2 linked regions of the Oryzias latipes genome follow. The protein of the gene in region 2 purifies or fractionates together with the protein of the main gene of each other region. This does not show direct contact. Links are inferred from orthologs where the notes say so. Each region holds a gene or a part of one and is shown on either strand. Other genes may lie near its edges.

Region 1 (3,401 bases), on a different chromosome or scaffold from region 2:
AACTTTTTTTGAGGATATAAAAAATCCGATTGACCTCTGATTGAAGGATCATATTCAGTTCCCGCACTAAACTCCACATTGTTCCTGGTGGTTAGACTTGGTTTGGCGCCATGTATGTAGCAGAGGCAGCACCAGTGTGGGAATGTGAGTGTGTATGCGACTATAAAGCGCTTTACACTTCAATTAAGGTAGTGAAGCATCATATGATGAGCACCATTTATCATGACAGTTATTGTAAGAAGGTGTTTGCAAAAGTGTCCTGCGACAGACTGGCGACCTGTCCTGGGTGTGTCCCACCTTCGTTCAACAGTGGCAGGGTTAGGCTACGGCATCCCCATGACCCAGAAAGGGTTAAAGCAAGAAAAAGAATGGATGGCTAGATGTGTAAAATTATTTTTTGATATTAATATTGGCAAGAAAAGTCATAGAAGTTTTACCTTTTTTCTGAGAACAAGTATTCCCTTAGTCAGGTGTGTATTGTAGCCATTTGGCTAACATTATATATTGTATTTATATTCCATGCATGGATGCTCCTGTCCTGCCTTGGTCATTTAGCCATTTGAGTTCCCTGTTGATGGGTGCATTTTGGAGATTGCCATGTCTTTATTAACATGCGTTTGGATTTTAGAACTTTGGAAGCATGACATTATATTATTCTTAGGCCATGTTCAGACTTTTGAATGCTATTTTGGGGGGTTTTATTGTAATTTTTCACTGTTTGAGTTCACAAAATATTTGACAAAAAAGGAAGAACATTGACCGTTTCTTATGAAGCAAGCATCAGATACGAGGCAGTTCCTGTTCCCCAAAACACCTGAATGACAGCAGTTATAGTGTTTTGTAACCTACAAAAAATATTGAGGGATAAATTAGGCTTATATTTTTTAAAAGATTAATATTTTAAGCTCTGCCAGGTGACACAACTGAAGGAAACCAAAATTATCGATGCCAACTCACTTTAAATGTGTATTTAAATAAATATCACAACTGAATGTCCATAAAATTCAAAAACAAGTATTGCAAACATGGTTTTATTTTGAAAAATTTTGCATATTTCTTAGCTTGACTGTATTTTGACACATAGAGTTGAAATTTTGTTGAACTGTCACCGATGAACTGTAACTGACTTTTTACCCCAAAAAAAATGCGTTTACATGTTTTTTTCTGTCTAGTTTAGCTAAATATATATCTTTTTAAATAATGTATATACACCCATCTGGAGCTTCTGTGACTGTCATCATCTGTGGTTTGATGTCTGTAGTCCACCTGTTGAAGCGCCCTAAGGCTACAGACTGAACTTAAACTTGACCCTAGTGTTCATTGGTGTGAAAAAGAGAAAAGAGCTTAAAAATGTTGCATGAATGTGGCATGAATTTAGATTTTTTTTATTAATATAGTGTATTTTATGTGTGTGTTATTATAACAAGTTGTATACATTGCATTAATTTGTTTGTTTTTTATTCAAATTTAAATGTCAAATTAGTGGAACAACATTGCCCTCTGGCAGCCAAATTCTGTATTATACAAGAAAATAAAACAACACTTCCCCCTGATGGTTACCGGTGGGAATTAGGCAACACTGCCTCGTGCGGTGAGACAATGAACTACACCGTGACCCGGAAGAAGACTCCTGTTGTTGCCCCACGTGTGTAGTGGTCGAAATCATGGCTGCGTGCAGCGTGGAGGAGCTGTTAGCGAAAGCCGAACAGGAGGAGGCTGAAAAACTGAAGACCATCTCCGTCCAGAAGGAGCTGGATTTGGACTTTGACGTGGGAAACCTGCTAGCTTGTGACAAAAACCGCATCGAGTCCAGGGACTTCAAAGAGCAGAATAAGGAAGACTTTCTCCGGTCGCTGGCCCGCGACAACACGCAGCTTCTTATCAACGAAATCTGGAAGGTGCCGACCGAGAGGGTCGAGGAGGCGATCGTAGCCAAACTACCGGAGCCGACGACCCGGTTGCCCAGAGAGAAACCTCCTCCGAAGCCCAAACCCCCGACGAAATGGGAGCAGTTCGCCAAACTGAAAGGCATCCAGAAGAAGAAGAAGACGAACCTGGTGTGGGATGAAACGGCCAAGGAGTGGAGGAGGCGCTGGGGCTACAAGAGGGCCAACGACGACACCAAAGACTGGCTGATCGAGGTTCCGCAGACCTCCGACCCGAACGAGGACCAGTTCGCCAAACGCGCCCATGCCAAGAAGGAGAGGGTGGCAAAGAACGAGTTCAACAGACTGAAGAACGTCGCCAGATCTCAGAAAATAAAAAACCCCGGTGTGGGGCTGCTACCCCGAGCCAAGCAATCCAAAGACGAGCTGAGCAAAGCTGTGAGCGTGGCCAAAACCTCCACGGCATCCGTGGGCAGGTTCCAGGATCGCCTCCCAAAGGAGAAGCCCCCCAAGAACGCAGGCAAGAGGAGGAAGTTTGAGCCCCTCATCGGGGACTTCTCCAGCGAGAAGCACAAGCAGCTGGAGCTCCTGAAGGTCATGGACAGCAAGAGGCCCAAGCTGGACATCACCAAAGCCGTCAACAAACAGATGAGAGAGGAGGACAGGGAGGAGGCTGCGTCCAGGAAGAAGGGAGGCAAAGGGGGAGCCACCCGGAGGCCCAAGGGGAAGGGGGGCAAAGGAAAAGGAGGCAAAGCTGGAGGAGGGAAGAGGAGAGGGAAACCTGGGAAGCGCTGAAGAAATTCTCTACATCCTGCTGCTGCAGAGCTGAACTCTGAGGACCGATTCCTGCTCCCCATAGCTTTTTGACTGTACTGTTGACAGAAAAGCAAATATATTCTACAATTTAAATACAAAAGTCTGCCGTTTCAGTTTTTTTTTACCTCCAATAAATGTCATATGGTTTTCAAAAAAAACTTATTTCCAATGAAAAGCTAATTTTAAGATTAAAAGAAATTCTGTTGCATTTTTCTCATGATGGAGGACATAAATAAAGAAATTTTAGATTAAAACTGCATTATTGAGTATTTCTTTATTCAGATCCTTGTGAATCAGGAGCAGACAGAAAATGCTGTTTGATAAATCCCTCAGTTGTAACGTAGAAACTGAACTGGGCAGACCAAAGTCTCCCTGCTCCGCCTCCACTTGCACACAAAGATGTAGAGAAATGTGAGGCGCTGTAATCTAGTGGGAGAGCGTGTAAACATGGATGACGGAAAGTGGGGGTGGACATACTCTGCAGCAATAGTTCCACCTACTGATGAACTGCTGCTCTGCACAAATTCTTCTCTAGAAAACAGCATTTGATTTTTCTATTTAGCCTAAAAACGGCATAGTCATAGTTGAAAAGACCGCTAGGAACACCCTGACAAAAGCGGATTGGAGTGGGAATTTAAAATCAAACTGGAATAGAATTGCTTTCTTTTTTTATCGTAAATTGTCTCAAGAAGGCTGCCT
Region 2 (4,504 bases):
CTGCTGCACCTTCACATGCAGGATTTCTCTGCAGAGGAGTTTCAACGAAGGTCGGCCGCTCTAAAATATAAAATCATTTATAAACTTGTTCTTATTAAGATGAGGTCTGGAACCTTCCACAGACGATCTACCAGTAAGTCTCAGTAAAAACAAAAGAACTTTCTATAATTACCCCTACAGTCTTCCGAAAGGGTTTATACTTCTGAGTGTCCCGAATGTGCTTCTTTGGATGATCCAAGAGAAGAATCTGAAACAGTTGACAGACTCTGTAAGAGGAGAGCTACAGCTGTTTTATTGGAGCACACATTTATTTTAAGGCAACACAATACCTTTAAGTCATTGTGAATTGCATGACCAACCACAATTCTTCCTTGCAGAATTTCAGCCACCTCCTTTTGCACAACATGCACATCCTCCCCTGTAAAAAAAAAAAAATCACATTTTGACACTGTTCAAAAGCACAGAGGATTGTTTGAAAGCAATAAACATCTAAGTATACAGTGATGTCTCGTTTTCTTACCATTTTTAATGTGTTCCGGTCGGATCCCACTGACAGCTGTTCTGTAGTCTGTCACCTTCTCTGTGGGTTTGACATATTTGTCATAGATGCATTTTCCAAACTGGTTCACGATGGACACACGTGCCAGGATGCTGTCCTCCCCATCTGGACCGACTCCCACCATCTCACAATCAATAGCTACAGCTTTGGTGATGCTGATATTCATACGTACAAACGTGGAGAAAACAAAAGGTCATCTAATGAAACAGTCCAGTCTTTCTGCTGCCCGTTTTAAAGTTTCTCCACAGAAATCACCTGAAACATTATTAAATCATTTTCTCTTTTGAGAGAAGTAAGAGAACATCTGATGTTATTGGGGTATAACTGACAACTATACCGATTTTTTCAAAAACTTGTTTAAAAAGGCAACGGCTGTTTTTCCAACTACTTCCACTTAGGGAGTCTGTTGGAGCCAGTCTGCTGCAGGTTGAGATGAGCATAAACTCTGCAACAGCTATGGCTGCATATTCATCAGGAAGCAATTGCGAAACAATCCGACGATTTTAAGACTCATACTTATGCCCAAAGAGAGCAACACACACGGGAAGTATCCCACTAGATTAAAGAGTTGCTAGGAATGGACTTTTTCAACACTTTTACACATCCGACCAAGAAAACAATGATGAAGAAGAGCAGCAGATGAGATTAAAACAATATACTATAATAATGATTGTTGAGCAAAAATTATCAAAAAATATCAGGACAAAAAGAAGGACTCCAAATTTGAAATATCTGGTTCTCTGTCAGCTTTAGGATCGATTTTAAGGTACTTTTCTTAGTTTAATGAAATTGCACTTTAATTTTAATCAAGCTGGTGTTAGCAGACGACCCTCCCAGAGCCCTCAGATCCAGTTATGCTGGTGCTCCCTGAGGTCATAAACAAAAACCCACAGCGAGGCCACATGGCAGAACTTTGGCCTAAACTCACCTTTTTAGTTTAGCTTTTATGTCGATTTTACATTTCCTCATGTTTTAATTTGATTTTATGGATTATTTTTTCCTGCTAGTTTTTGTACACAACATGTGTTTATTATAAATACTAATATAATTATTATTTATTTATGTAAAAGACTTTGAGGTGTTTTTTAACAGGAAAAGAGCTCTATAAAGAAAGGTGAATTTCAACTAGAGTTGATCGATAGCAAATGAAGGTGTGGCATTTTGACCGTAAGAACACAAAACAGTTTCTCTTACCCATCAAAGGCGTTCTCTTTTACCAGAACGCTATCTACGTTCTTGCTTGTTTTCATGCCTTGTTTCCTCCTCATGATCTCTGCAGCCTCGGCTCCCATCGTTTCCTCAATATCGTCAGGGTCGACGTCATCAAACCAAAGGTCCTCCCTACAGCAGCACAAGCAAAGATTACAAGGCAAACCCGAACTGAAGTCAAGTATTAGCAATAAGGATACATACTCTGTGGGTTTCCTCTCTTCAGTGACGGGCTTCTTTTTCTTGGCTGGTTTCTCATTGTCTGTCTTTTCGTTTTGCCTTTTCCTTGCACCACCAGGTTGCAGTTTGTCTAAGGCGGCGTGGATCTTTGCCTTCACCCCATCCTCCTTTGGGGCATCGCCACTTTTGACTTTTCCCTCTCTGTCTGTGTGCACCTGGCTGGGAGCAGGGCTCTTATTTTGAAACTTTTTAGGCTCATTTCCTTTAAACTTCTTAGGGAAGACACCATTCCGATGTTTTGGTGTAACAGGCTGCTTCTTCTCTGGCTGACTGCTCTTTAAGATCTGCCATGTTCAGGAAACAAAGAAGATAATTACATTTTAAAAGTAAATACATTTTCACATAAGTAGTTGCACAGCTTATGAAGAGCATAGAGTTTAATATTCGTCAGACAAACCTCTTGTAATGCTTTCCAGTTGGAAGAAAACTGTTGGGGATCCTGTGGTGGTGCAGTTTGCTTTGCTCCAGGATTTTCTAGATTTTTCTTGTTTAGAGTCTTTTGGGAAGTTTGTTTTTTACGATTATGCTTTATAAAAAACTTCTTCCTTTTTTCTTTGGACGTCAGCTGTTGCGTTTTTCCAGCAGGAGTTTCCTTTCCTTTGATTTTAGACATCGTGGTCGCACTTCTTTAAACTTCAGGGAGTATTTGCTGTGTTACACAGCCACGTTTTTGAAAGAAGCCAATTTTAGGTGAGATGTAAACGAAAACAGTTAACGCTGTGTCACATACATATGTATCCCAGATAAAGGGCACACACTGTTTCTATTAGCAAAAATAGCCACTTTATTATCCTCCCAAACAGGGAAAAATTATGTTTCAAGTTGTTTACCTTCACATTCACGAAGCCATGCTGCGGTGCTTCTGGAATGAGTAACAGTCAAATATGTTCGTCAGGAAAAAAGTAACATGATTCGTTCGAGCGGCAGAAAGTTCTCCCTTCGTTGATTTTTTTATTTCTTTCTTTTTTCAAGCTTGAAAATAGTTTTTAATATCTATACATTACTAACAAAGAACACAAGATTGATATGTAATTTTGCTTTATTTCTTTAAAGTCTTTTGTTCCTGATGTACAGTTTCTGACCGAACTCATTTAGGTGATGGACTAACGTTTTGTTGACAGCAGTCAGCTAGGTTTTGGCGTAATATGATTAGATGCACTTTTTACATTTTTATTTATGTTTCGTTTGAAATAGTAGAATTGGATTTTATCTATCGTTGAACCTAGCTGATGGTACGATATAAACAAGCTATTTGAGAAACATTTAAACTGTTTTTAGGGGTTTTTGTAAACTTGCTGCTCTTCTTACGAACCAAAATACACTTATTATCTGTCGGTAAGTTTAGTGACTTTTTGTCATTGTTTATTTTCGATTATTTTACCCAATAGATGGTCTGTTTGTGTTCTGGTTTCAGATCATGGTTGAAAACTCCCCATCACCTATGCCAGAGAGAGCAATCTATGGGTTTGTTCTCTTCCTTGGCTCCCAGTTTGGCTTCTGTAAGTTAAGTCCCATCACATCATGTTCTTTCAAATTAGAAGCATAGTTCTATTTGCAGAAGATGTCATTCAACGTAAAATGTTGTGGAATTACTTATCTCTACGGCTCTTGGTAATATAGCAAAGACATTCTGTTCCTTTTGTTTATGTTGCCATAAATCTAATCTCATTGAAATTTGTAAATGTGCAGGACGACTCACTTGAGTTAAAATAGAATAACCGTTTCTCGGTGGAGATTTAAATCTCCTTACTACTAGGGTGATAAATAGTTGACCACCTGAAAAACAGACTGCCATTAATTCAATGTGACTTCACTTAAAAAAAACAAGCCTTTTTGGATTTTTTTCTCAATAGAATTCTTTCAATAATTAGTTTTTTTTAAGTTATTTATATCTCAAGGTATACATTAGTAAAAGGTTATTGTGTTTATATATATTTTTAAAAATTCAGCTGAAAGATGGCAGGATGGTAGTGACTTAAATATTGTAAATTACTTTAAAACGCTAGTTGTGTGTTGTTGTTGTTTTGGGTAAAAAGTAGGATTTTTTTAATAGGCCTGTTATGTTCATATTTAGGCTTAAAACTACACAATTTAATAAGTCGGCAAAATTGTATTAAGCCAAATGAAGAAGTCTTGTTTAACTTTTAAATTGGATTGTCTTTTTCTCATTTAAAAGAAAATTCTTCTAATAATCCCAATAATTCTAAAAAGATTTCAATTTGGAATATCACATAACTCTGTTGCTTATAAATGAATATTTACACTTTCCTCAAAGGTTGTCTTTTTTATTGGTTGGATGGTCTTTCTGTATGAAAAAGCATCAGATTTAAAAATAAATTGAAATGAAAGGACATATGTTTATACATAAATGTAAGATAATGTAACAGAACAGAAGTAAAAATAGTTCGTGAACAATTTGAAAAAAAAGTCTATCCTAAAAGAGTATCAAAGAATTCTCTTAATAAAATATGTTTGTTCTGTTTCTTTTCCCAAAGT

The links.
Region 1: the proteins of rexo4 (region 2) and rrs1 purify together in Homo sapiens (co-immunoprecipitation; 3 studies listed by BioGRID and IntAct, with this or other methods). This does not show direct contact. The link is inferred for Oryzias latipes from reciprocal best matches to the Homo sapiens genes REXO4 and RRS1.

What each region holds. Positions count from the first base shown.
Region 1 is NC_019878.2:17,066,229-17,069,629, reverse strand, and holds rrs1 (ribosome biogenesis regulatory protein homolog), read left to right. Parts: upstream 1-1,594; 5' UTR 1,595-1,664; coding exon 1,665-2,681; 3' UTR 2,682-2,802; downstream 2,803-3,401. UniProt on the Homo sapiens protein: Involved in ribosomal large subunit assembly. May regulate the localization of the 5S RNP/5S ribonucleoprotein particle to the nucleolus.
Region 2 is NC_019877.2:8,249,029-8,253,532, reverse strand, and holds the start of rexo4 (RNA exonuclease 4), read right to left. Parts: upstream 2,894-4,504; 5' UTR 2,622-2,893; coding exon 2,406-2,621; intron 2,293-2,405; coding exon 1,973-2,292; intron 1,901-1,972; coding exon 1,754-1,900; intron 715-1,753; coding exon 521-714; intron 419-520; coding exon 330-418; intron 248-329; coding exon 173-247; intron 61-172; coding exon 1-60. Other genes in the region: pigp (phosphatidylinositol N-acetylglucosaminyltransferase subunit P), read left to right, coding at 3,426-3,507, 4,504-4,504.